Canis lupus familiaris: one gene and its partners. The protein of the gene in region 1 binds, or shares a complex with, the protein of each later gene. Links are inferred from orthologs where the notes say so. Each region holds a gene or a part of one and is shown in the gene's direction. Other genes may lie near its edges.

Region 1 (3,500 bases):
ATTTTATTTTTTTCTTATGAGATTTCTTATGAACTCACACACACAACTTGTCATGCTTTGGGGGCAGCTTATTCCCCACTTATCTCTTATTTCCACACCTTTCAAAGAAGTATGTAGTTGAAATACTTAATATTCTCTTGCCCCTTTCCAGGTGAGGCCTGAGCATAAATAAGAACATCTTTTTAACCACTGATTTTTATGCCAATGTCTTTTTCTCTGTATGTTTTCTTTTTTGTTCTATAGGACTCTATCTAACTGGACATATGAATTTGACAAATGGGCTCCTTCTGTGGTGAAGATTTCTTACAAGGTTTGGAATGCTTTATTTATATATAAATGTGGAAAAGCAAAAAATAGACCCAATTTTTTTTCTTCCTCCCATATGCACATCTGTGAACTGTATTTGGTTGTAAAGTTTTGTCATGTACATCATGTACCAAACACTGTGAGTTAATCATCCCAAGAAGATTACTGTAATAAACCATAATTACTTTCAGATAGTGAAATGCAGAAGAAAATTGTTAATTATCATATTGCGAGGTTTCTGATGAGAGTAATACAAATGACAAATATCGCACATCCCTCGCGCCGTGCCATGCCCGCTGTTCCTGCAAAGTTCGGCAATTACCCGGGCACCCGGGCTGCCTGCTGCACGCTCCCGTAGAAACGGAGCCTTTCAGCCGAGCAGCGGGTTCTCTGCTACCTCGAGGTTGCTGTAATTTCCTTCTCCGGCTGTCCCCTCACCCTCAGTTTTCAGTGGGAAAGCCTGCCTGTAAAGGGCCTGAAAAGCATCCAGATGTGTGCGATTTTGCCAAGCACTTTGTCGTGGATAATGGATCTGTGTATGATAATGCGTAGATGTGCAATCCTCAGTCGTGTGTCTGGGCTCCATTAAGCCATGAATAGTGAAGCAAAATGTACACATTACTTCCTTTGGGTAATGTATATGCCTACATATATATATATACACTTTTTTGCATTCAGGGCACCCCTGCAATGCGTCGCTCCCTTGTACCCCAGCTGCGGAGTGGGAAATTCAACGTCCTCTTGACTACTTATGAGTACATTATCAAAGACAAGCACATTCTTGCAAAGGTAGGTTTAAAAAAAAAATCTTTTACCTCTAATTATGGGACCATTGCACTGGAGTATAAAGTATTCCCCAAATTATACTCACTGGTATAATTTGATCATTAGATGGCCTCTCTCTCTCTCTCTCTCTATTTTCTATCTCTTGCAGAGTCAGATATATATATATATTTTTTTTTGGTTTTTCTTTGTGTGTGTGTGTGTGTGGTTTTTTTGTTTTTGTTTTTATTATTTTTTTTTTTTTGCATATGTCATTGATTCTGGTTCTCTAACCTAGCCTCTCACAGTTACTGAGTTTATGTCTCTTAAAAAAATTCACCTGGGCTCCTTCTGCAGCTCTTTTTCTCTCCAACGGCCCTGAACGTGCTTGTGGAAGAAATAATTGTTTTTGTAGCCCTGGGTTATTGTCAGCAGCATGACTTCATTCCTCTTGTGCCTTTGTCTCTCCAACGATGAGTAGGCACCTCTCCATATGGTCTTCTCCATGTGAACATTTGTCCAGGCTGCAGCTTTGGTGCTATTCCTGTCTTAGGTTTTTTCCCTGGTAAAATAATGGGCCATTGTTTGGATTACTCCAGGCTGTTTCTGTGACTATTCACTTGAAGCTGAGAAAAAGTTGTTTTCTACCTGCAACATACATGTCTCCTAATTTGTACGTTCTTAAGTTGTCCTTTGGCCAGCAAATAGAAAATTTTTTTTTTCATGTTTATCACCTTGCCCCCTAATGCATTCATTCAGAATACCTTCTTTGGTGGGGCCAGACACAGATACTTCATTTTTCTTCCTCCAGTAATTTCTTTTGCCCCGTGGTGTTCTGGAAGTGCCATAATCTGAAACGAAGTGATGGCCAGAACTGAACAGAATAGCTGTTTCAGGGATCTGTTCTCTCTCTGCATTAAACCTTTGCTCAGGGAACTGAGAGTTCCCTTCATGGCATCACAGGAGATAACATATAGGAAGTGTGCTCCCAGGAGAGGTTTAATAATTGAGATGGCACTGGCAACAATGCTGTGTTCCTGCTCCTCATACTCAGAGATGAATCTGGCAGTGTTGAAAATGACATGTTTTTCGATATTACTACGGGAATGTGTTTGTACATTCGAGATCCTTTAAAAAAATCCTATCACATCTTCTGCATATGTATTTCAGAACTCATCGGAGATGCCTGGTAGTGAGATGAATTGCTTTTATGTGTTGCTAGAGAAATGAAGCTATAGAAAGGGGTAGTGATATTTTGTCCAAGCGGAAGACCCAATTGGCAAAAGAGTAAATTAGCAGAATCGAAGTCCTCTCTGATTCCTTCTTTATTAGATCGTAAGCTGAATTAGGAAAGTAGATGTAGACTGTTTGCTTAAATACATTTTTATCTGCTGGCCCCTTCTATGCTATTGGTAAGCTTGGGATAATTGTCCATACAACTTCATGCTTATGAACACTTTTCTTAGAAATGGTGGAGGAAGAGTAAAACAAAACAAAACCCAACAACAACGCTATGGTAGTTTCTTTTGCCCAAACATCTCAGCCCAACTGAAGATTTTATATTTCTTTTCCCCCGATTTCACTGTCACTTGTAGTGAGAAAGGCAGGGACCATCTAGAATACTCTGCTAGTCTCTCTCTCTTTCTCTCTGGGAGCTTTGGAGCAGGATCCGGGGACATCTGAGCACCAGATGCTTTTCTTGGCCATTGCCACTGTTTTGTAGGGAATGAATAGGCTTAGTGGGACATTCCTCATTGTTCTCACTTAAAGAATCTGAGACCAGTGACCTTGAAGAGGGCTGAAGGGTGAGTTATGAGAGAGGAAGGGGCCTGCATGTAGACTTAGGAGGGAAGATTATGTCATATGGCCATTCTTTATTTTTCAAGTGGTAGTCATGCTAGGAAATGAGATTGTGTTTAATTCCAAAGTTCTGGCAAAAACAGAGGAATGATATTTTAGCGTGGTCTTCACTGCCAGTGAGTATATGCTTTCATTTTAGACATCTTAAAACAGTGATCCTAGACCTGGCAGGTAAGGACCTGGCAGGTAAGGCATATGTCTGAACTGAGAGACTCCAGGTTGCCAGGCCTTATTTTTTTTTAAGAGAAGCTGAATGTTCAGATTGTTATGTGAAGTATTCCAACTTTTAAATGTTAGCAACTCATTCAAATTAAGAAGAAAAAAAAGAACACTGAGCTGAGCCAAGCCCTAACCGTATAACAATAGAAGCAAAGGCATGAAGCCAGAGCATCTCAGCTATGAGTACCGACTGTCGCCATCTTGGAAGATCAGTCATTAACTTCTGCTTCAAGTGGAGAAGCAGAAAATCTGCTCTTCTATTCTTGCTATGAGCAGAGGCAGCACGAGCTCTACATCCGGTAGAGCCATCATGGTATGCCATCAATAGAAGGAGTATTGGTTGCGGAGACACG
Region 2 (4,092 bases), on another chromosome or scaffold:
AAGAACTGGTGGCAATTTGGCATCTTCTCTCCCCCTTTCCACCCCTCCTCCGCTATTTTAGCTATTTGACCTGATTAAACAACTTTGGGATGTTAGCCAGATTTCTGTATGCTAACGAGGCCCCTATTCATGATTTAGTGCGATTTCATCCACCGGGAGATTCCCCGCTGCCCCGTGGAAGCCTGGCTTCACCGAAGTCTCCCAATTTCGTCGGGGGTTCGCCAGTGAGGAGTTCACGCTGACTTGGAGCAGACACAGACTCTGAACGCCTCGGGTCCTACCGGATTATTCAGTGGCAAATTTTTCCACCGTGTACCTAAGTAGTGAAAGGTGACGCCAGAATCGCGTGTGCTACTCCCCGAAAGAGACTCTGGCAACACCTTCTGTCTAGTTACTCTCTTTCCTAGTAGCAGAAAGCGTTTCCAAAAAGTTTCCTTAAACCTCCTCTGTCCCCAAGCCTAAAGGTCAGAGCGCCAGGTCCCACTTGGCTCCCCGGCCGGCCGGAATCTGACCATTTCAGAAGTTTCTGGTGTGTGTGTAGATTGGAAGAGGTCGGAGTGGGGAACCGCGCACAGCGACCACCGCGCATTACGTAACGAAAGCCCTGGCTGCCGGAGGGAGCGAGCCTGACATTGAGACATTCCAGGGGGAGGGGAGTTGCTGTCCTGGAGTCGCCGGGAACGGCGGCAGCAGTTCCAAGAAACCGAGAGAGAGAGAGAGAGAGAGAGAGAGAGAGAGAGAGAGAGAGAGAAGGTGGCCGAGATAAAGAAAACACTACAGGAATGAGAATGTTAAAAAGCCTTGGACCTAGAGCATTAGCAAACTGCTGGGCACGTGTAGTAATTTGTTAGACGAAACGGCAGCCTTCCAACTTTTGCACGGGAACGAGGGGATTTGCCCTTTGGGGGATTAAAAACGTAACAGCAAAGCCAAAAGCTAATGAATGGGGTTCAGTGGTTTGTTGGCAATACTTAAATATTTCTGTCCAGGAGCGCAAACTCTCTGCAATTATTTAGAAAGTAGGGACTCAAACCAAACTAGAATACTTTCCCCGTGCGTCTCCACTTTCCCAAATCCGAAAAGGAGCTGCTCTCGCGGTACTGCCCCTTTAAGACCTGCTTGCTCTCGGGCTCTACAAAAGGGAGTGACCTCTGGGCTTTGACAGCTCCCCTAATAACTACCACCGTGCAGGCCCCGCCCATCTGGCGACCAGCAGCGCCCATTGGCCAGCGGGCCGGTATCCCGTGCTCTGATTGGCTCGCCGCTTCCCCTGAGCGAACCTTTAGAACTCTGAGACAGACAATATTCTGTTACATTGTAGCAAAATGGCGACTGTCATTCACAACCCCCTGAAAGCGTAAGTAAGACTAAAAAATGTACATATTCCGCCTGGTTTCAATATGAAAAAAAAGGCGCCTTCCGCGTGCCAAGCGCTGCCAATGCACTGCGCTTGCAGGCGCCTGCAGCCGCGGCGGGGCTTCTCTTTTCTTTCAGCTCTTACTTCTTCATCTTCTTTTTTTTTTTACCCCCAACGCGCAGAAATGTCAAGAGATGCAATTAACAAGAAGAAAATTGTTACGTTTGTGTTCTGCTTAATTGGAAGACGCACGGAGAGGGGTTTTCGGCAGGGGAGCCAGGCGCTCGAGCGCTCTACGGGGGGGGGGGGGGGGGGGAGGCGGGCGGTCGTGGGCAGCTCGGGGACTGCACGGTCCCCCGAGTGCCCGGCGTCGCGGGATGGCGAGCGCGGCGCGGGGGGCGGCCGAGCTGGGGGCGAGCGCCGGGCAGGGGCCGCCTGGGTGCACTTGGCTGCGCCCCGCGCCTCCGGAGTCCGCAGCCCCTGCCCGGCTGCTGGGTCCGCCGGGGCGAGCGGACCGTGGCAGCTCCGGAGTTTGCAGGGCGCTTTACGCCTTCCGATCGCTCGCGGGGAGTTTGTGCAAACCTTCCGGAGTTGGGAGGACCGCAGGGGGAGCAGTGGGTCCCGGGAGCCCTGGGGCCCAGGTGATTGCCCGGGGGCTTTCCTGCCGGGGCAGCCCCCCGAGCGTGACCGCGCTCCGGGCGGTCGCCGGTGTGTCTGCGTGTGTTCGCGGGCGAACTGGGTGTAGTGTATTAACGACTCGGGTTAACTTGGGGTTGATTGGGAGGCAGGGAGGCTGCAGGTCTTATGAATGGTGTTCTTGCCTCCTCTGGGTGAAAAACCGAGGCGGGCGGAGAGGCAGCTTCTGCTCCCGGCCAGAGCGAGGGGCAGGTGCCTCTGGCCGCCGCCGGGAGACTTTGAGCGGACGCCCAGATCCCGGACGCAGGGGGGCGGGCTGGGCGAGGACATGCGGGGACCAGTCCCCGGGTCCGACTGCCAATTCCTGCCTGCCTGCCTTCCTGCTCCTTTTCGTCCTGGCTTCCTTCCTTCCTTCCTTCCAGTCGATGGAAATGTTAAGCCGCCAAGTCCGATCGCGATCGCGGAGCCGCTGGAGGCTTCGGAAAACTAGCGTCGCCCTACAAGGGGTGCTATTGGCAATGATATTGGCAGAGGAGAGCTCGCTCCCCCATCGCCGCGCGACGTGGGTCGGGACTCCCGGTCGCCGCGCGGCGTGGCTCGGGGTCCGCGCCTCTGGGACCAGGACTTCCCAGCCGGGGTGGGAGCCGCGGGCGAGGGGAGGGGGAGATGCAGGTGGGGGGCGTTTCGTGCAAAATTCTCCTGGCTGTGTGGCCGATGCCCGTGCGGGTTATTTCAACTCAGCGCACCGCGCTGGCACCCCAGGCTCCTCCTGGAGTTGAAAACCACGTTCGCACCGGGGGAGGGAGGGAGGCTGCGGGGGGTGTGGGGGTGTTTCCTAGCGCAAAGGAACGCGCGAGGGTAATCGGACGTGTTTGCACCAGCTTATCTCCCATCATTAATAGGGGAAAAGGTAGTAAGGTCCCCGGTTCGGAGTTTTTTTTTTTTTTTTTAATATACATGTATTAAAGCTGCGATTAAAGCTGCGATTAAGAGGAAGCTGGAAGCTGACGCCGATCACAGAACAGCCCCCGGCTTTAGTTCTCGCTCGCAAGCTCGGATACACTGCACTGGAACGCCACAACGTTTCAGCCAAGAAAGAAAATGTTTTACAGCAGAATAAATGGGCGTAACTTCGCCGCATCCTCGCTCCCCGGTCGCTCGCGCAGCCACACCGCTGATGCTGTGAGTTTCAGCCGAACCTCCAGCTGATTTGCAGTTTCCCCATTTCCAGCCGAAATCACATAGGCAGGCTGATGCCACCTGGTAAACTCAAGTTAGAGAAATCTATTTCACATGTGCGCCAGATTTGTTTCCTACTGGGAAAGCGGTACCAGCGTTACCTTGGAGCCCGCTCACGCGCCGGCAGGCGCAATATCTCTAAACGCTCCAGGGTTTGTTTCCCTGCCGGCTCCGGTTTTTTGTTTGTTTGTTTGTTTTTGAACTGCGGAAGGGTGCGTGTTTGGCGAGGGTGTCTGAGTGGGGTGGGGTTAGAGGTGGAGGAGGGAACAGAGAAGGGGGCTGGTTTAGTGGAATTAGTCCTGAATTATTAAACTTATACTTTGTAATAATTAGAGACAGTTGCAATGACATGTTTTGTAATTCTGTGTCGACACACACACACACACACACACACACACACACACACATACACACGCGCGCGCGCGCACGCGCTAGCATACACACAACATCCCTGCCTGCCTTTTCTAGACGGGAGTTGAGTGGTCATTTTTTAATTAGCTCCTCCTTTTTGCATCCCAAACCCTTTCCCTGGAGGAAAGGGGGTGTAAACAATACCCACCCCCTCTCCCGGACGAGCCGAACCTCCTGCGCTCCGGACGGCTTTTAAACTCCTAATGCAGGAGCACACACGTTGTTATTGGGAGACCCACACCATCTGCCTTTATTTTTTGAAAACAACTTATTTAGCAAGACATCTTCTACATTTCATTTGTTTTTAAAAGTTGCTGATCAGGAAACAATACACACGTAAATAAATTATGCATGGGATAAATTAGAACAAAGCGCAGAGACACATCCAGCTAAAGGGATGGATGGTGGTGTAGGGAGGAGGGGAGCCGCGAGAATGGTTTGGAGAGCTA
Region 3 (4,074 bases), about 24 Mb from region 1:
TATATTTTTATTTACTCATTCAACAAATACTTATTGAGCATCTATTATGGGCCAGGCATTATTCTTTCTGGTAGTGGTTGGCTAGCACCATTTTACACCTGACTTCATATCCGATCTCCTTGATGGAGTGGATTTACTGAACCTACTACCTGCCAGGTGCCTTTTATTTTATTCATCTATTTTTAAAGATTTTATTTATTTATGCATGAGAGACACACAGAGAGAGACAGAGGGGCCGAGGGAGAAGCAGGCTCCCTGCAAGGAGCTGGATGTGGGACTCAATCTTGGATCCCGGGATCACGCCCTGGGCCAAAGGCAGACGTTCAACTGCTTCGCCACGCTGGCATCTCCCCCCTGCCCACCCCGGGTACCTTTTAAAAACACTATATGGGGGGGCACCTGGGTGGCTCAATGGGTTAGGCCTCCGAATCAATCTCAATTCAGGTCTTGATTTCTCCGTGGTGAGTTTAAGCCCCGTGGTGGGCTCCCTGCTGGATGTGGAAAAACTAAAACTAAAAACACTCTATTTACTCATTTAATCCTTACAACAATCCAATGAGGTGTCATCCTCATCTTACAGGTGAGGAAACAGGCCCAGGAAAGTTAAGTCATTTGCCCAAGGCCACATGGCCACCGAGTTGCAGAGGCGGGATTCGAACCCGCCAGGTGCGGCTACAGCTCCTTACTGGCGACCGGCCTGCGGCAGGACGGGCTCGCCCGCGCGGGGTCACCGTGCCGGGGACAGCCCGGGGACCGGACAGGCCGGGCGCTGGGAGCCGGGAGGGCCTGGGGATGCGGGAGGGAGAGGTGTCGGTGAGGCGAGCGCAGGCGCGGGTGGGACGCCCGTGCGGGCCCCTCCAGGGTATCTCTAAGTCTCATGGCTTCGGAGTGTTCGTGTGAGTGTAAATGTATGTGAGTCTGTGAAGGCGTGGGAGGGAAGTGTGCGTGAGTCTGCGTGGGAGGCTGTGAGTATACGTGTGAATGTGTGTGTAAACTGCCGTAGGTGGGTGTGTGCGAGCCCAGGTGTGCCCGTGGGAGCGTGTGCCCGGGACGCTAGGGCGCGTGGGAGCGGGCGCGCGTGAGTGGCCGCGTGAGTGACCGCGCGCGCTCCCGGGGCCGCGCCCCTGCCCCCTGCCCCCTGCCCCCTGCCCCCTGCCCCCTGCCCCGCGGGGTCCCGCCCGGCCCCCGGCCCGGACTACCACTCCCAGCATGGCCCGGGCGGGCCCGCCCTGCCGTCCTGATTGGCTGTGGCCCCGGTGCTCCCGCCCCGCGGGAATGAATGGATGGGCGGCCTCAGCGCCCGCCCGAGCGCTGGGAGGACCGACCCGGCGGGGACCTGCTGGGGGCAGGACCCGGGGAGCAAGATGGCCACGGTCATCCCCGGCCCCCTGAGGTGCCGCGGGCCGGCGGGAGGCGGGAGAGGGCGCGCGGGCGGGTCTGCGCGGGCGCGCGCGTGTGTGTGTGCGTGTGTGGCGGCCGGGGGTGGGGCCGATGGGGTGTCTGGGGGGCTGTCACCGTGGGCCGTGCTGCGCGGGGGTGCGGATGTGTGTGATCGTGGGTCCCTGGCAAGAACGGGGTCCGATGCGCTGCTCCTGGAGGAGCGGAGGGTGTGGGGGACTCGGAGTCCTGTTCGGGTCCTCTTCGGGGGAAGGGGGGTCACGTCCCGCCCGGCGACCCCCGGGGTTGGGGAGAGACTGAAACGGTCTGGGGGTGCGGGAGGCTTGGGAAACTTGAGTGAAGTCCACACTACCTTTGTCTTGGCATGTGGAGTGCGTGTCACTTGTTTGTTTGTTTTTGATATGTGTGTGGATATGTGTTTAATTTATTTTAGTCTACACTAGGTATCTTTGGATATTTGGGTCTTTGAGTGTGCGTACATGTCCTTTGGAACTGTGCATCGCTTGTGTTCTGTGTCTGGATTTGTAGGCATGCATGTATTTGTACAGTTTTGTGTGAATATGGGTGGATTTGTCTGTTTCTGTGTTGTATCTTTGTGTGGATATGCGGTATTTTAGATGTTGGTTTCTATGTTGTGTATCTTTGTGATTGTGTGTGTGTCCTGTGTGAATCTGTGTGATTTCTTTGTATAGTTTGTCTGGATAGTGTGTGTGTGAGTGTGTGTGTGTAATTTGTTTGTGTTGTGTCTTTGGGTATATAAGTGCATGTGTGGGTAGTTTAACATTCTTCTCATAATATTTGTGTATCACTGTGTGTCTTTGGATGCGTGTATGTGTGTGTAGTGCTGTGTGTGTGATCTCTGCACATTGTGTGTCTTTGTGCGGGTGCTTTGTTTATGTTGTGTGTCTTTGGATATGTGAGGTGTATTCGTGCATGGATATATGTGGGATGTGTCTGTTTCTACACTATGGGACGGCGATGTTTGTATTTTCTCAGTAGATATTTGTGTGTGCACATATGTGAGGTTTGTCTGTTTCTCCTTTGTGAGTTTTGGGATATGTCTCTCTTTGTGTGTGAATCCTGTGTGGTTTGGTTGTGTTGAGTATTTTGACGCGTGCCTGTAGGGATGGGTCCTGGTGTATTTTTGTCCGTCTCTGTATGGTGTGTATCTATCTGCCTGTTGGCTCCAGGCCTGCTTGGGCCCTGGGCTGGGGGCGCCTGAGTCCCGGAGGCACAGGGGGGAGAGGGGAGGTTGGGAGAGTAGGCCCACCCACTCCCGAGGGGCGCGCCGAGGGGGGCTGCTGGGCCACCTGGCGCTCGCGCCCTTGCTGACAGCCACTCGCCCGCTCGCTCGCCCCCTCGCAGCCTAGGCGAGGACTTCTACCGCGAGGCCATTGAGCACTGCCGCAGCTACAACGCGCGCCTGTGCGCCGAGCGCAGCCTGCGCCTGCCCTTCCTCGACTCGCAGACCGGCGTGGCCCAGAACAACTGCTACATCTGGATGGAAAAGACCCACCGCGGCCCTGGTACCGGCCCGGAGGGTGGGGGCGGGGCGGGGCGGCGGCTTTGCGGGCCGCCTTCCCCTTGTTCTCACGGCCCCTCGCGCTTCTCACTCCAGGTTTGGCCCCCGGACAGATCTACACGTACCCGGCGCGCTGTTGGAGAAAGAAACGGAGACTCAACATCCTGGAGGACCCCAGACTGCGGCCCTGCGAGTACAAGATCGGTGGGTGGAGCTTCATCCTGGGCCTGGGGGGGACCCCATCAGTGCCCCCAGCACCCGCTCATGCGTGTGTGGTGAGGCCCTTGCAGGTCTGAGCATTTGCCTTTATTTCCCTCCCAGCGCTTGTCTGCAGGTGTGCGTCTGGTGTAGTCCAGACGTTCTCCAGTTCCCCCCGAGTGACTGGGCTTTGGACTTGGGCTGTATCTTCTCCTCCGGCCCAGGTGTATTCGTGGGCAGAGTGGTATCTGTTTCGTGTGTGCCTGGGTGTACCTTCCCTGGCGAGCTGGGATGGATCAGGGTCCCGCTGGCTTTCTTCCTATGGGTGCCTCCTATGTGTGTCTGGATGTGTCCGGGTGTCTTTCCATCCGTAGGGGAGCATATCAAAGTGTCTGTGTCTCTTTCTAGGTGTTTTCAAGAGTACTAGAGGGGCTATTTAGTCTTGTGTGTGTCTGGTCTAGCAGGGTATCCTGAGTGTGTCTGGGTGTATCAGGGCGTCTGGGTGTCTCTTCCTTTGAGTGTCCAGATGCTTTGGGATGTCTGGGAGAAGCCCTTCGTGGCTGGAGTATTACGTATATTTCTGCCCACGTGTGCTCGTCTGGCCAGAGTGTTGGGCTTTATGACCTTTTGACTGTGACCAGTAGTGTCACAGTCGCTGGCTCTTTCTCTTCTCCTGTCCGGGTGTATCCAAGGGTCTGTGTGGGTCCAGGTGTATTGAAGTGTCCATCTGGACACTATGTGTCCATCTGTGTCTTTCTGGGTGTGTCTGTTTGCCTCAGAGGGACTGTGTCCCTCCCCCTTGTGTATCCATCTGAGTGATTCCCTCTAGGTATGTCTGTCTCGCTCTCGTGTGTGTCCAGGTGTATGGCAGGGTCTGGCTGCGTCTTCCTCATGTGGATCTAGGTTGAGCTGATGGTTTAATGTCCCTTTCTGATTGTCTCCGGGTGTATCCAAGG
Region 4 (3,500 bases), on another chromosome or scaffold:
TCAGTTGGTAGAGCATGCAACTGTTGATCGTGGGGTTGTAAATTTGAGCCCTGTGTTGTGTGTAGATGTTACTTAAAAATAAAATCTTTTTAGGGGTGCCTGAGTGGCTCAGTCAGTTAAGTGTCTGCCTTTGGCTCAGGTCATGATCTCTGTATCCTGGGACCCAGCCACCTGTGGGGCTCCCTGCTCAGTAGGGAGCCTGCTTCTCCCTCTCCTTCTCCTTCTGCCCCTACCCCCTGCTCATACTGGCTCTCTGCCCTTTCTAATAAATAAATAAAGTTTCTTCAAGAAGTTTAGAGTTTACATCAAAACTTTATAGTTGGGGGATCCTTGGGTGGCTCAGCGGTTTGGTGCCTGCCTTTGGCCCAGGGCACGATCCTGGAGTCCCGGGATCAAGTCCCACGTTGGGCTCCTGGTGTGGAGCCTGCTTTTCCCTCCTCCTGTGTCTCTGCCTCTCTCTGCTTCTCCCTCCTCCTGTGTCTCTGCCCCCCCCCCTCATAAATAAACAAATAAATAAATAAATCTTAAAAAAAAAACTTTATAGTTAAAAAATAATAATAAAATAAAATCTTAAAAAAAAAAAAAAAAAGATGTATACTGGGACCAGACCACTCCTTGGAGGTCAAGCACAGGCTCTTGTCTCCTTCAGCTCTTCTCTTAAGGGCCCCCAGACAGGGGCACCTGGGTGGCTCAGTTGATTGGATGTCTGCTTTCAGCTCAGTTCATGATCCCAGGGTGCTGGGATTGAGCCTGGCATCAGGCTCCCTGCTTAGCGGGGAGCCTGCTCCTCCCTCCCACTTGTGCTCTCTCTTACACTCGCAATTGCTCTCTCAGATAAATAAACAAGATCTTATAAAGGGGGGACCCACAGACAGCTGTGGCTTTCAGGCTTCTCTCCAGCACAGTCTGCCTTTTGTACTTCAGGTTCATGCAAAGTGGATTCTGGACACAGACACTTTCAATGAATGGATGAATGAGGAAGACTATGAAGTAAATGATGATAAAAGCCCTGTCTCCCGCCGAAAGAAGATTTCAGCCAAGACTCTGACGGATGAGGTGAAACTTCCTCTTCTTTCTTCCCTGATCCCTTAGCACAAGCATGGGGATAAGTCTTCAGTGGGGATTGTTGGCTGACATTCACTCCAATTCTCCAACCTGCAGGTGAACAGCCCAGATTCAGATCGACGGGACAAGAAGGGGGGCAACTATAAAAAGAGGAAGCGCTCCCCCTCTCCTTCACCAACCCCAGAAGCTAAGAAGAAAAATGCCAAGAAAGGGTATGCCAGCCGCTACCCTGCCCCACCTTCACCATTCTCTCCATGTTGAAGGAAGGAAGGATAGACTCCTTCCTGTGACTACCTGGCCCTGACTGGGGTCGGCCCTGCTCCTGTAGGTGTCCTGAGAGGGAGGGTGAGGTCTTCTTTAGCTGCCCACTTGTTAGTTCTAGTTGCAGCCACTAGTGACCTCAGAGTGACATCTTCAAGGGAAGACCTTTGCACTTCCCTGTCCTCTGTAGTGATGCATGTCTATGCATGCTTAGCTCCCCCTTGGGGATTCTCTCTTGCTTTACTCCCCTTGAACCTCAGCTTCCAGGGACTCCTTGCTTAAGGGTGACCAGGTTAGCTTTCATTACCTTTCCTCCCCTTTCCTCCCCAGTCCCTCAACACCTTACACCAAGTCAAAGCGTGGGCACAGAGAGGAGGAGCAAGAAGACCTGACAAAGGACATGGATGAGCCTTCACCAGTCCCCAATGTAGAGGAGGTGACGTTACCTAAGACAGGTACGGGCCACACCAAGCTTCGGGGACCTACCTTCCTAGAGGGCTGATTTCCCAGGCCGAGCTCCGGGTCTTGAGGATCTGGCCCTTCAATTTAGCTGTTTATTAAAATTATTCTCAACATGGGCAGTCCTCTGACTTGAGCCACATCTGAGTTGTGTACTGTGCTTGTACCTGACAGTAGTTGTTTCTGAACTGTTTTTGATCACTTACCCCCTTCAGTAAAGTATTTGATCACAGATTATTATTATTATTATTTTTAAAGGTTTTATTTACTTATTCATGAGAGACACAGAGAGAGAGAGGTAGAGACACAGGCAGAGGGAGAAGCAGGCTCCACAAAGGGAGCCCGATGTGGGACTCGATCCCAGGACCCCGGGATCATGACCAGAGCCGAAGGCAGATGCTCAACCACTGAGCCACCTGGGTGCCCCTTGAGCATGAGTTATATATGTGCTGCTGTACCGTTGCTTTAGGAACATCGTGAGACACATGCAAACATTATCTAAAAAATGGGAAAATGTAAAGGATAAACTGAAAAAAACAAATATAAAGAGAAGTTCTGTTATTCTCTACCTGTATTCCACTGGACCATCTCTTGCCGTCCTGTGTGAGAACCCCACTTTGGAGACCATTGCTTTGCAATGATAGAGAGTTGTATAGCTGCAAAGGTGGACTGCGATCTGTATTCCATAGACGAGCTCCGATGTCAAGGAGTGTATTTCAGGGGTTGCGGTGGGGGCTACTGAGAGAGAGGAGTGCTGGCCTCAACCCCCTTCATCAATCACGGCGGCTCTCTTCCATATTCGTGTTTTCTCCTGAGCTGTTGTGTACGGATTCGGTTAAGAGAAGCCCCCTTGCTTTCAAAAATGTTGGCGATCCAACCAGTCCTCTCCAGAGTGATTTGGTCAGACTCTGTCTCAATCCATTAAGAGTTCACAGACACACAGATGGAGATAAGAGGGGCCTGTTAGAGACAGGAATGCTTGATGAGTGTCCGTAGAGTGGAAGATGCTTCTGTATAGGAAGAGTTAAGTGACCGTTTGGCAGGGGAAGGAGGGAAAGTGGCAGTTGAGTTTCAAGCCCCAGAATGACTGTGCCTGGAGGGAGTTACCGAACCCTTTTTGTGATCAGAGATCTCTTAGAATTGTTAAAGGTGGAGAGTTAAAGAGTTGATTCGGGCAGACCCTGTCTGATAAAATGACTCTCTCTCCTGGCAGTCAACACTAAGAAGGATTCAGAGTCTGCCCCGGTCAAAGGAGGCACCATGACTGACCTGGGTAAGGAGAGGAGGCTCTGCGGCCCGCTTCCCCTAGCCTGCCACGGCTTTTCAGAGGGCAGGACTCTTGCTGCTGCTCTGGAGGCTCCACTCCTGATTTGCTCACTCTCTCTTTCAGATGAACAGGAGGATGAAAGCATGGAGACCACGGGCAAGGTGGAGCCAGTTTAGAGAGGCCCTCTCTACCTCTCTATGGGATTCGGATTTGCGCTTCTAAAGTTCCTTCTACCCAGAACTTTCTACTGCCTAGGGTTTTCCCACCTTAGTCTAGTTTTAGCTGTTGTTCAGAACTCAAAACTCTGACCCTTTCTAGGTCTTGGGGCCCTTAACAGTCCATTCCCATGGCATCATTAGTTCCCACTTTCCCGGGGTGTGGGAGAAGCAGAGGGTTGCCAGGGGCATAATGGGAATGCTGAGTGTCCAGCGGCCTCCATACTTTTAGG
Region 5 (4,072 bases), on another chromosome or scaffold:
TAGAGCCCAAGGAAACCAGGCTGCAGGCAAAAGGACTGTAGGCAGAACATTCCCTGGGTTTTGTCTGACCTCTGAGGGCATTCTGAAGGGTTTGAGGTTCAGGACACCTCCCCCCCACCCCTCAGTGTAATTCTGGGTCTTTAGGGTATAACTTCAAATAACTTTTCCAACAAATTCCCCCAGGCATTGCCCCACCTCACCTGGATTCTGACAGGGCAGCCCCAGGAAGCACACAAACTTGACCCACTGTGGTCCCAAAGCCTTGGGGCTCTTCCTCCAGAAGGAGGAGAGAGGGGTGTGGCCATTGGGGGCCTGGGTGGTGCTATGGTTCCCAGGCTGGGGATCTCAGGATTTGTCCCTCCTTCACCCCAGGGACTGCCAGCTCTCTGAACACTGCCTCTTCTGGGGCTCCCTCAGCCAATCCCACACTTACCCCTGCTTTCTCTGGGGGTCTTGCGGCCCGCCCTCCCCTATACCCAGCAGCCCCATCACCTCTGGGTCCCCCCACCCCCCACCTCATGCCCCATTCTCTCCATCCATCCACGCAAGCACCCACCCCAGCTCCTCGCCTTCCCTCACATTCGCTGCTCTTCCTGTTCTCATGAGTCCGATCCACCTCCCCTTTCCGAAATACTTCCCCTCTTGCCCTCACTTTCTCACATAGAGACAAACAAAGACTCACATACCCAGAAATAGACTCACACGGAGCTGGAAGACACAGGCCGTGTCCTGCCACACACGCACCCGCAAGCGCGCGCACGCACCCGAGGCTCTCGTGGAGGGAGGCACACAGAGAAGGCATTTGTCTGTGCACGCACATAAACATCCACACCCACAGCCACCGAGCCATGCCCACACCAGGGTGCAGACACACACGGCGGGCGAGACAAGGGCGCACACATCTGTGGACGCGAGGGGACAGCGCCTCCCCGGGCACACCCACCGCTGTCGGCCTGGTGCAGGAGGAAGGCCTCCCCCCAACCCCCCCAACCCCCCCCCCCCCCCCCCCCGGATTCCTTCCTTCCAGAGAATGTTTCCCTACTTGGCCTGCCAGGTCTCTGGGGAAAGGGCCTCAGAAATGCAGCAGGAGCCCACTTGGGGGACAGTTGGAACTGCCTGTTCCCTGCCTGGCCCTGCCGGCGAATTCCCTAACCGAGAAACTATTTGTGGCGAGAGCCCGGGTGGCCGACGAGCCCCCCGCCGCCTCCCCTCGCGTCCCCTCCCCGCGCCGCCTCCCCGCGGCCCTCGGGCGGCCTCGGGCTGCAGTGCCGCTGCCCAGCGCCCCGGAGCCGGGCTCGCCGGCGTGCCTCGCCGCTTATCTGCGCTGTTTGGACAGCGAGGGCTGCAAAGGCAGGCGTTTCGGGCCCCGCCGAGTCAACAGGCAGACCCCGGGCCGCCGGACTATTTCTGTCTTATCAGTACAGGAATGCGGCAGCCGCGGCGGCGGCGGCGGCGGCGGCGGGCGGGCGGCGGCGGCGTGGGCCGTGGGCCGTCAGGGCAGCCCTGAAGGGGCCCCCTCCCCACTCCGCTCGAGTAGAAGTGTGAGAGAGCCCAGCAGGACTCAGAGGGGAGAGTTGGAGGAAAAAAAAAGGCAGAAAAGGGAAAGAAAGAGGAAGAGAGAGAGAGAGTGAGAGGAGCCGCTGAGCCCACCCCGATGGCCGCGGACGAAGTTGCCGGAGGGGCGCGCAAAGCCACGAAAAGCAAACTTTTTGAGTTTCTGGTCCATGGGGTGGTGAGTGGGGGAAAGTTAGCGGGGGAGGGTGAGCGAGCTGGCTCGGGCTGAATGGAGGGATGATCGGGAGGGGCCGGGAGGGGGCTCCCGCTCTCCCACCCCTCTGGCAGGGGCGCCGCGGCCCGCGGCCCAGCCCCAGCACTGTGCCGGCGCCCTGGCACTCGAACACGTCGTCAGGCGGCAGGCGGCGGGCCGGGGATGGGTGCCCCGGGCGGGGACGGAAGCTTTGCATGGGTTCTTGTCAGGGGCTGGGGGTGGGACTTGGGGACTGCCGCCCCAAGTGTGGGGGGGTTCCCCTCTGTACTAGACGTGTTGTCTTCTATTCTTTTCCTCGTGGGCCCAGGTGTTCCCCTGCCCTGGGGGTGGGGGCAGGGGACACGGCAGCGGGTGGGCTGGGTTGTCTGCTCATCCATTGGGACAGTGTCTCTCTGATTGTGTCTCTCTGAGCAAGAGGAAGGAGCAGGTGACCCTGGAGGCACTGTGAGCGGGAAGCTCTCTGCCCCAACAACCTCTGCATCCTGGCAGGAGGGCTCTGGGGCTTTGCTGATGGCTTCTGCCATCCGGGTCAGAGAAAGACCCTCTCCAGGGACAGACCCCAAGTGAAGGGGTCTGAAGATCCCCTTGGCAGACTCAGCCCCCAGAAGCCGATGTCTTTAAATCCTCAAAGGTGTGAAGGAAGGGCTGGAGTCAGGGATGTAAGGCCTAGAGACCGAAGGGGCAGGGCGGCACCTTCCTGCCAGGAGCGGACTTGGAAGGCACACAGGGAGCCCAAGGGAGCCCAGGGTGACCTGAGGGGATGGGACCTCAGGCTGAGGCAGCAGGAGCCAGGCTGGTAGAGATGTGGAAGGCAGCGGAATGGGAGAGGCAGAGATTGTTGGGCTTGGAATGGCCACTGGGGTTGGAGCTGGGTGCAGAGGAGGCAGTCAAGTTGACTATGGCCAAATTTGGTTGTGACCCCAAAGAAGGCACGTTCTCAATGAGGGAAACCAAAGTCCCTAGAATCTTGGCCCTTCTTTGGGGTAGTCCCCTTGGTTGGCACAGCTCTCTGGGGGCTCTGGAAGCTTCTCTCTCGGGGTCTCTTCAGCAGATCAGCAAGTTATCACTGGCCTTGAGGAATGGGAGAGCAGCTGATTGGGTAAAGGGGCTTTCCCTGGGGCAGCCTGTTCTCCTGTCCCAGAGATCTCTGAGGCAACTTCCCAGGGAGGACCATGTCGGTCAGCCAAGTTGCCGGTCCTAACCATGCTGCTGGTGAAGTCCCTTTAAAAAGGCCCATCTAGGAGAGAGAGGGGGCTATATGTGTGGGGGTTTTTTGGTGGTGTTTGGGTTTTGTTTTTTTGTTGTTGGTGGGGTTTTTTCTGTTTTTTTTTTTTTTTTTTTTTTTTTTTTTTTTTGCCAACTTACAGCTTCAGTTCTTGGGTGGCTGTGAGTCCCACCACTCCACTCCCAGTACCCCATCTGTGCTGGTGGGCCTGGGCCTAGGCTCCATTCTGGGCCACCACTCTGGAGATATGAGTGATAGGGTCAGGTGCGGTGGGGGAGGCAGACACACGGATGGGCAGTTTTCACTGTGGGAGAGATAGACAGAGACAGCTGGCTGGCTGGGAGTTAGGGTTAGACAAAGTGCAGGGCCAGAGGGACAGGAGGGAGAGTTGGCATTTAGAAGGAATTCACCGGGCTCAGGCTCAGGGCTCCTCCTTGTGCCTGAGGGCAAAGCAGGTAGTGTTTAAAAGGTGGCAGGGCACAGGGGCTGCATCCCTTGTTCCCGAATCTTCCTGCTCTCTTTGTCCCCATCACACCCACCCTCCACTTTTCAGCCCATTGGGCCTTCCCGGATTCCTCTTCTGGAATCTGGACAAGTGGGGTTTTCAAAGTCTGTGAAACACTTAGTGAATTTGCATTTCATCTCCATCCCATCTGAGGTGGCAAGGGAATACACCTGCCTCCTCTTGCTCTCCATGTCCCCCTCAGAGCCCTGGCTTCCTACCTCACTGGGGCGGGGTGGGAAGTGGAAGAGTTCTGTAGGATGGAACCATCTCTGGCAATGCAGGCGGACAGGAAGGGAGAGATGGATGGAAGAGGAAATGCCACTCACTCGCTCACTCACTCGCAGCCTTTGAGCTCTGCAAGCCCTCTGGGCAGCCCACCTCCAGCCCAGCTGCCTCCCATCCTGTCAGGGACTCCTGGTGGGGTGTGACCTCACTGGCTCCTGTGGCCTCCAGCCTTCACCTTGGGAGTAAATTATGGGGGGGGGGGGTGCCCCTGGGTGTGGTGACCTGGAATCAGCTGAGGGGGGTGTGGGTTGAGACTGAAGGGTGGAAAGCAGGGGCCCAGAGAGAAGGA
Region 6 (4,101 bases), on another chromosome or scaffold:
GTGGGAAAAATACAGGCGTAGAGTAGTTGAAAGCTCTGCTGTTCTGTCCCTTCCTTCCTATCTTAATGAGAAACAAGTGAGGTAGAGGGCCCGTCGTGCCGCCTCCCCCAGGCACTCCTCCTAGGCCAGAGGCCTACCCCTTCCCAGGCCTTCTCTACCCAGCTGTCTCTTGGTTTCCAACCCCAGAACAGGACTTTGGCAGGTCACCTGTACATTGGCCTGGTGCTGGAGAGTGAAGCTATGGGATTTTCGGGAACTCTTGGTTCCTAGAAATTCCTTGGAGATCAGACCTCTCCAAAGGGAAGCAAGGCCAAGGGGTGTGCACCGGATGGGGAACAGCAGGCAGGGCTATGGGTGACGCATGCCTCTGGTCTAATAAACTGGGTTTCAACCATCTCTTTGGTGTCGTTCTTCTCTTCGAGAGTATTTAGGTCTCCCACGAAGTGCCTCCAGCTGAGCTTAGCTTGGGGCCAAACAATCGTGCAGAAGTCAGGAGGCTCAAGCAAGGAGACCCTCCCTGGTCCTCCTGGGATGGGGCCCGACTGACCATCGCAGTAGGAAATGGTTTCCACTACTGGGCAGGGAAAGGGGGAGAGAGGTCAAAGGCAAGAGAAGTCCTAAAGAGAAGTCCTGGCACAAAGGATTCTTCGGGGGAGGGGGCAGGGTTAAAATCCAAACTAAAATCCGGAAGCAGGTTGGGTTTTTTAAGGTCAGGGAGAGAGTTGGGTTCAAATTCTGGTGTGAGGTAGCTACGGAGGCATTGTGTCTGCAGAATGAGCCCTGGGCCGTGAGCCAGAAGACCTGGGCTCTGAGCTCTGGCGTTCCTGCTAACTTGCTGGTTGGTCTTTGCCAACTCACTCACTAAGGTCGGCTTTCCGGTTTGTAAAATGGAATAAGCGGTGCATTCTCCTCTTCGGCTCCCCAGGCTTACGGCAGTAGGAAGGAAACGAAAAGACAAAGCGCTTTGGAAAGTTAGACCTCCTGAGCCTGCACGCGCAGGTTCCCCATCCCGACGCGGTCCTCAGAGCCCGGGGCCTCGGCGTCCTCCCGTCGGCCTGGGGGCGCCCGCTCACGCGGCCTCTCTATCCCGCAGTTCTTCTCGATGGCCTCCGCTCCCGGACCGCGAAGACGGGAGGGAGTGGTCAGCACGCCTTTTCTGCTGGCCACCCCCCCTCTAGCCCGCAGTCTCGCTGCCCCGAGCCTCCCGCGCCGGCCGGCCGGCCGGGCGGACAGGCGGGCGCGCGGGGGGCGCGCGGGGGGCGGGGGGAGTTCCGGTTCCGGTTCTTTGTGCAGCTGCAGCAGCGGCTCCGGGGAAGATGGCGGCCCGGGCGGGCTTCCAGTCTGTGGCTCCGAGCGGCGGCGCCGGAGCCTCCGGAGGGGCGGGCGCGGCCGCTGCCCTGGGTCCGGGCGGGACTCCGGGGCCTCCCGTGCGGATGGGCCCGGCGCCGGGTCAAGGGCTGTACCGCTCCCCGATGCCCGGAGCGGCCTATCCGGTGAGCGGGGCAGGAGGAGGGGCGCGCGGGCCGGGGGCGGGGCCGAGCGGGGGCCTGGGAGTGACAGGGGTGGCGGAGAAGTGGGAGGGCCTCCGGCGGGAGGGCTTCGGGCCCGGAGTCGGGGTGAGGGGAGGCGGTTAGCATCCCCACCTGCCCCCGGGAGCATTGTTCCCGCTGGGGAGTCGGGGTGCGGACACCGCGCGGATGAAGCGGGGCGAGCGGGGGCACGTGAGAACTGGAGGGGGCAGAGCGCCGGGCAGCTCCGGTGCCCGGGGGAGCGCGGGTGTAGCTAGCAAACGGAGGCCGGCTTCCGCGGGGAGGAGAGCTGGCGGTACCAGCCGAGCAGAAGTGGGACTCGGGGAGGACCCCGAGTGTCGGATACCAGAGAGGCTGGGGAGCGTTTGGGTGTCGTCGGGCTCTCGCTTAGCCTTGGGGCTGTAGCCCCTGGAGGACAGGAAGCTCCAGTTGTTCGGGTTTCAGAGACAGAGGGGCGCCCCCCCCCCACTGCGCCCCCCCCCCCCGCCGCCCCCAGCCTCGTTCATTCAGCGGACTCCGGCACCTCCCACTTGTCGGTGGGGTTAGTGGGGAAGCCATGACATCTCTGGGTCCTCTCCTCTCCGTAGAGACCAGGCATGCTGCCAGGCAGCCGAATGACACCTCAGGGACCTTCCATGGGACCCCCTGGCTATGGGGGGAACCCTTCAGTCCGACCTGGCCTGGCCCAGTCAGGGATGGACCAGTCCCGCAAGAGACCTGCACCTCAGCAGATACAGCAGGTCCAGCAGCAGGCGGTCCAAAATCGAAACCACAAGTAAGCTGACCCTGGGGCGAGGGAGTGAGGGAGGGAGGGAAGGAAGGAGGGGGGAAGCCAGCCCTTGAGGACACAGGTGATGGGAGAGCCTGAACCCAGAGGTGGTGATGCTGCGTCAGCAGATGGGTGCTCATTCTTCAGAATGCTTCAGCATGCATGGGTAGGGGGTGGGGGTGGGCGTGGGCAGAGTGCCTTGGATTTGAGAGGCGCTTTGCAGTCCCTTCATTTTCCTATAAATGGAGGTGCTGACCAGTCTGTCTTCATGTTCTGGCTAGTTCCATCCCAACCTGATAACAGTATTTATTCCAAACAGTGCAAAGAAAAAGAAGATGGCTGACAAAATTCTACCTCAAAGGGTGAGTCCAGGGTCTTCCTGAGGAGGTGCTGCGTTTGAAAATAGGAGCGGTCAGCTCTAGACCCCAGTGATACCTTTTTTTGTTCCTAAGATTCGTGAACTGGTACCAGAATCCCAGGCCTATATGGATCTCTTGGCTTTTGAAAGGAAGCTGGACCAGACTATCATGAGGAAACGGCTAGATATCCAGGAGGCCTTGAAACGTCCCATTAAGGTAATGCAGGAGAGTGCTAGGCAGAGAGCCAAAGGAGAGGACTCGGGAACCTTCAGTAGGCTTAGGATGAGAAATCAAAGGCACAGCACAGCTCTCCTTGGCATTTAAATTACGTCTCCCTTCCGCCTACGAACCTAGGAACTGAGAATTACATTAGAATCCAACAGCCAGGGGGGAGGGGCCCTTGCTGTCTCTTGCACCAGAAATCTGCCCTGTCCCTGTTGTGGCCATAACTGTTCTGGCACCTTGGGAACCCGGCATCTTGCATGACTCTTGTCAGTTTGGCATCCTAGTGTATGTACTTGCACTCGGGCCAGTATTCTTCTAGATGGAATCTCTGTCCACCCACCCCAGGGACTGGATAGATAGTAAGCCAGTCTGTTAGGAGTAATTTGCGGGTTTGGGGGAGATTCTTGTCTTCAGTATCAAACCACTGAAGCCCCATCATCAATCCTGTTTCTGCCTTCCTCAGCAAAAACGGAAGCTGCGAATTTTCATTTCTAACACTTTCAACCCGGCTAAGTCAGATGCCGAGGATGGGGAAGGGACGGTGGCTTCCTGGGAGCTTCGGGTAGAAGGACGGCTCCTGGAGGATGTGAGTTCAAAGCCCACTGTGGTTGCCGTCTAGGGCGGGAGCTGCTGGGAGCAAGCGGTGTTGTCTTGTTGGCAGGAATCCTGACTGGTGCTCACAGCTCCTGTTGAGAACAGCAGGGAGAGGATCACTGTGTTCCCTGCACTAAAAGACAATGGTTCTTTGTGTCTCGCTCCCACAGCCTGGCCCTCGCTGTGGTATCATATCGAGAACCTTATTGTTCCAGGACTTGATTTGTTGTTTACCTTCCTCCTGATGGTGCTGGCCATTGGACTTAGCATCTGCAGGTTATTCAGCTTTTGGGTTTTGTTTCTTTAAAATCAAGTGAGTTTGCACTTAGCACTGGAAGACCTACTTTTCTCTCTGAGTCCTGGAGGTCCTCGATTCCCACTGTAGTATCTCCACCTTCGCAACTTTCGTTGGAGACTTCTCACAGTGGCAGTGGGATAGTTTTCTGTGCTTCATGGGGAACATCAGCTGACAGGTGGCAGCCCCCAAAACTTCCTACCCCAGAAGTTCACCTTTCATTCCCTTACATTCTCTATTTTTAGCTTTTCATAAGCAAGCTAATTTGGATGCATTTTTGCAGGAGAACTGGGGCTCTGTGTCAGAGCTTCCTTCTCTATATAGGTCCAG
Region 7 (3,500 bases), on another chromosome or scaffold:
AGCCATTGTTTTTAATAAAGGGATATGTGTTATAGTACATTGAATCTTAAAAAAAATATTTGGTTGAAAGATTGATTTATTTTCCTTTTTTTTTTTAACTTTTTTTTTTAATTTATTTTTTATTGGTGTTCAATTTACTAACATACAGAATAACCCCCAGTGCCCGTCACCCATTCACCCCCACCCCCCGCCCTTCTCCCCTTCTACCACCCCTAGTTCGTTTCCCAGAGTTAGCAGTCTTTACGTTCTGTCTCCCTTTCTGATATTTCCCACACATTTCTTCTCCCTTCCCTTATATTCCCTTTCACTATTATTTATATTCCCCAAATGAATGAGAACATATAATGTTTGTCCTTCTCCGACTGACTTACTTACTTCACTCAGCTGATTTATTTTCCTTTGCAAATTTTATGAGCTTTTTAAAAAGTTGTTTGACTTATATTATGAATATTGTTTTTTATTGTTTTCTAATATATTTTCCTTTGACTACTAGAAAACTTTAAATGTAGAGTGGTTTATGGTTTTTTTTTTTAAGATTTTATTTATTTATTCATGAGAGACACAGAGAGAGAGGCAGAGACACAGGCAGAGGGAGAAGCAGGCTCCATGCAGGGAACCTGATGCGGGACTCGATCCTGGGACCATGGGGTCATGCCCTGAGTCGAAGACAGGTGCTAAACCCAGGGATCTCTAAATGTAGAGTAATTTGGAGGAAAAGCAAATTTTGATAAGTAGTTTTGTTCACTTAGCCTTAAAAGAGCTTTTTATTATTTTTTTCTTTTGTCTGAAATAGGTTTAACAGCATTGCGTAGTGATGAAGTGATTGATTTGATGATAAAAGAATATCCGGCCAAACATGCTGAATATTCTGTTATTTTACAAGAAAAAGAACGTCAGCGAATTACAGATCATTATAAAGAGTATTCTGTAAGTATTGAGGTGACTAGCATCTTTTATTTGGTTTGGGGAGAATGACATTTTGTAAAGTTACATGTGACTTCCAACTGTAATATTTTTATTTCAGCAAATGCAACAACAGAATACTCAGAAAGTTGAAGCCAGCAAAGTGCCTGAGTATATTAAGAAAGCTGCCAAAAAAGCAGCTGAATTTAACAGCAACTTAAACCGGGAACGTATGGAAGAAAGAAGAGCTTATTTTGACTTACAGACACACGTAGGATTGCTTAACTTTATTAGTTCCCGAACCTCACTTAATTGCTTGTCATGGTAGAGTGCTCAGTATCTCCTTTATTTTATTTAGCCATTGTGGTGTGTTTTTTTTGTTTTGTTTTTTGTATTTGTTTTTTGTACCAGCGATGTGTCCTTTCCTGCTCCAGAATTTAGGATATAATTTTTAATGATGTGCTAGTAACGCTCTGTTCACTTCTGTGTGTGTGTATATATGTGAGAGTGGTGTCTTTTGCTCTGTGGTTGACATTTCTCCTGAATGAGACTAATAGGTGTATATCATAGTGGCTGCTTGTCCAAGGGTTGTTTTAAGAAATTTTTTCAGGGATCCCTGGGTGGCGCAGCGGTTTGGCGCCTGCCTTTGGCCCAGGGCGCGATCCTGGAGACCCGGGATCGAATCCCACGTCGGGCTCCCGGTGCATGGAGCCTGCTTCTCCCTCTGCCTGTGTCTCTGCCTCTCTCTCTCTCTCTCTCTTTCTCTCTCTCTCTCTGTGTGTGTGACTATCATAAATAAATAAATAAAAAATATTAAAAAAAATTTTTTTCATATTAATTCACTTAATTCTCACAGTTGCCATGTGAGGTTGAAACTAGTATTGTTCTCATTTCATAGATGAGGACGTTGTATGTGTTGCTCAGCTCCCGCTGCTCTTGCCATTGGTGAACAGAAGCAGGCTACCTTTCCCTCAGAAGTGCTGGCTGTGGTGAAGAGCCAGATAAACTTCACCTGTGTGGCTAGAAACCTCCCCACTGTCCCCTTGGGTTTTAGTTCCTAATGTCTCCTGTGTTTTTAGCCTTTTGTGGGAAGGAGCATGGTGGAGAACAGGAGGATTGTGTTCCTAGGACCTGGATTCCCAGCATAGAATCACTTACGTATTTCTCTTCACGTCAACCCAGGTCATCCAGGTGCCTCAGGGGAAGTACAAAGTGTTACCAACTGAGAGAACCAAGGTCAGTTCTTACCCAGTGGCCCTCATCCCCGGACAGTTCCAGGAATACTACAAAAGGTATCCATTGGTTTTATTACCATCGTTATTGGGTACTGCTGGGGGACTGCAGAGTCTTGTGTACTTGCCTCCAAAGAGTTGAGCTCTGTGTGTACCACCTTGAGATGTTGTGTGAGATCTGGGCCAGTATCCTGTTTTCTGTGGTTCATCAGTGAAGAACACCCTTCAGCCACAACGTAAACATCTGCCGACAAAGCTGGAGCTGCCCATCTCCCTGCCCGCACCTGTTCGTGTGTCCGTGGCAGATGCAGGTGGACCAGTGCTTCGGTCCTTACATTGTGCTTCATGGCCCAGCAGCACCCGTGTCATTTGAAAGCTGATTGGGAGTGCAGACTCTCGGGCACAACCCCAGACCTGCCAACCGGGAAGCACTGGCTCAGTCTGCAGAGGATGTCGAGGAGGAAGCAGAATGGCTGCAGGGCGGGCTGGGCCACCTGGTTGTGCCGGCCACGTCACTGCCCTGGCCTGGCTGCTGCTTCCACTCTGTCCGGGATGGCTGCTTCTCTCTCATTCCCAACCTGGGTGTAATTGAAAATAAGGCTAACAGGGTCCTTTTGTTTGAAAACTCTCACCTTTAAGCTTTATGTTCTTGAGGATAGAGACTGGTCTTTAGAGAACAGTGTTTAAAATAGACTATAGGATCATACTATTTGAAAGTCCAATTTAAATCATGGGTTGCAGATCTTAATTTCGCTTTGGGGTCAGCAAATTATTAAAAGTGATGATTACATTTGTTAGAGTACATGCATCACAAGTTTTTAAAAAAAATTTCTTAAATAATGTCATGTACCACCCACTGCTGTGCATCATGTGTGTCGACTGATGTCATCATCACATCCACCTGTGAGGTGGACGCATCGTCCTGCAGTCCACGGGGACCCACAAGCAGTGATATGGGGTGAGGGGAGGGTGGGAGTGATCAGGAGGCATGGGTTTTGTGCACAGTCTTGAATTGCCACAGTTCTACCTTAGTCTGCTGACTTTTTTTTTCTATTTTGGGTTGAAGATAAAGGAGGGAGACTTCCTCTTTTGATAATCAAATGCATATGATATACTTTTAGCCTGGTGTAAAAAACGTTTAGGCTTCTCATTTATTTTCCTTACTTGATACAAAATGAAAACTTATTTGTTACATTTGTAGTCATTTTCCAAAAGTATTTGGGGTTAATTGAGAAGGTTAAGGCTACCTTTAAAGCTCACAAATTAGATCATTCGTATTAATTGTAAAAAGACAAGTGACAATCGTCTCTCTGATCCTCAGATACTCACCAGATGAGCTGCGGTATCTGCCATTAAACACCGCGC

What was found.
Region 2: SMARCA2 (region 1) and DPF3 share a complex: the UniProt entries of both Homo sapiens proteins name them as parts of the BAF complex. The link is inferred for Canis lupus familiaris from reciprocal best matches to the Homo sapiens genes SMARCA2 and DPF3.
Region 3: SMARCA2 (region 1) and DPF1 share a complex: the UniProt entries of both Homo sapiens proteins name them as parts of the neuron-specific chromatin remodeling complex. The link is inferred for Canis lupus familiaris from reciprocal best matches to the Homo sapiens genes SMARCA2 and DPF1.
Region 4: SMARCA2 (region 1) and SMARCC2 share a complex: the UniProt entries of both Homo sapiens proteins name them as parts of the BAF complex. The link is inferred for Canis lupus familiaris from reciprocal best matches to the Homo sapiens genes SMARCA2 and SMARCC2.
Region 5: SMARCA2 (region 1) and SMARCD3 share a complex: the UniProt entries of both Homo sapiens proteins name them as parts of the BAF complex. The link is inferred for Canis lupus familiaris from reciprocal best matches to the Homo sapiens genes SMARCA2 and SMARCD3.
Region 6: SMARCA2 (region 1) and SMARCD1 share a complex: the UniProt entries of both Homo sapiens proteins name them as parts of the BAF complex. The link is inferred for Canis lupus familiaris from reciprocal best matches to the Homo sapiens genes SMARCA2 and SMARCD1.
Region 7: SMARCA2 (region 1) and PHF10 share a complex: the UniProt entries of both Homo sapiens proteins name them as parts of the neural progenitors-specific chromatin remodeling complex. The link is inferred for Canis lupus familiaris from reciprocal best matches to the Homo sapiens genes SMARCA2 and PHF10.

Annotation. Positions count from the first base shown.
Region 1 is NC_049222.1:91,456,483-91,459,982, forward strand, and holds part of SMARCA2 (probable global transcription activator SNF2L2), read left to right. Parts: intron 1-243; coding exon 244-310; intron 311-984; coding exon 985-1,095; intron 1,096-3,500. UniProt on the Homo sapiens protein: ATPase involved in transcriptional activation and repression of select genes by chromatin remodeling (alteration of DNA-nucleosome topology).
Region 2 is NC_049229.1:46,575,316-46,579,407, reverse strand, and holds the start of DPF3 (zinc finger protein DPF3), read left to right. Parts: upstream 1-1,292; 5' UTR 1,293-1,325; coding exon 1,326-1,357; intron 1,358-4,092. UniProt on the Homo sapiens protein: Belongs to the neuron-specific chromatin remodeling complex (nBAF complex).
Region 3 is NC_049222.1:115,598,750-115,602,823, forward strand, and holds the start of DPF1 (zinc finger protein neuro-d4), read left to right. Parts: upstream 1-1,274; 5' UTR 1,275-1,283; coding exon 1,284-1,393; intron 1,394-2,763; coding exon 2,764-2,924; intron 2,925-3,016; coding exon 3,017-3,124; intron 3,125-4,074. UniProt on the Homo sapiens protein: May have an important role in developing neurons by participating in regulation of cell survival, possibly as a neurospecific transcription factor. Belongs to the neuron-specific chromatin remodeling complex (nBAF complex).
Region 4 is NC_049231.1:846,729-850,228, reverse strand, and holds part of SMARCC2 (SWI/SNF complex subunit SMARCC2), read left to right. Parts: intron 1-924; coding exon 925-1,056; intron 1,057-1,161; coding exon 1,162-1,277; intron 1,278-1,656; coding exon 1,657-1,781; intron 1,782-2,998; coding exon 2,999-3,058; intron 3,059-3,175; coding exon 3,176-3,213; intron 3,214-3,499; coding exon 3,500-3,500. UniProt on the Homo sapiens protein: Involved in transcriptional activation and repression of select genes by chromatin remodeling (alteration of DNA-nucleosome topology).
Region 5 is NC_049237.1:16,013,155-16,017,226, reverse strand, and holds the start of SMARCD3 (SWI/SNF-related matrix-associated actin-dependent regulator of chromatin subfamily D member 3), read left to right. Parts: upstream 1-1,272; 5' UTR 1,273-1,654; coding exon 1,655-1,732; intron 1,733-4,072. UniProt on the Homo sapiens protein: Involved in transcriptional activation and repression of select genes by chromatin remodeling (alteration of DNA-nucleosome topology).
Region 6 is NC_049248.1:42,013,975-42,018,075, forward strand, and holds the start of SMARCD1 (SWI/SNF-related matrix-associated actin-dependent regulator of chromatin subfamily D member 1), read left to right. Parts: upstream 1-1,301; 5' UTR 1,302-1,316; coding exon 1,317-1,493; intron 1,494-1,596; exon of another isoform or gene 1,597-1,697; coding exon of another isoform or gene 1,698-1,721; intron 1,722-2,116; coding exon 2,117-2,304; intron 2,305-2,617; coding exon 2,618-2,660; intron 2,661-2,750; coding exon 2,751-2,873; intron 2,874-3,345; coding exon 3,346-3,468; intron 3,469-4,101. UniProt on the Homo sapiens protein: Involved in transcriptional activation and repression of select genes by chromatin remodeling (alteration of DNA-nucleosome topology).
Region 7 is NC_049233.1:72,430,497-72,433,996, reverse strand, and holds part of PHF10 (PHD finger protein 10), read left to right. Parts: intron 1-793; coding exon 794-927; intron 928-1,024; coding exon 1,025-1,174; intron 1,175-2,085; coding exon 2,086-2,195; intron 2,196-3,456; coding exon 3,457-3,500. UniProt on the Homo sapiens protein: Involved in transcription activity regulation by chromatin remodeling. Belongs to the neural progenitors-specific chromatin remodeling complex (npBAF complex) and is required for the proliferation of neural progenitors.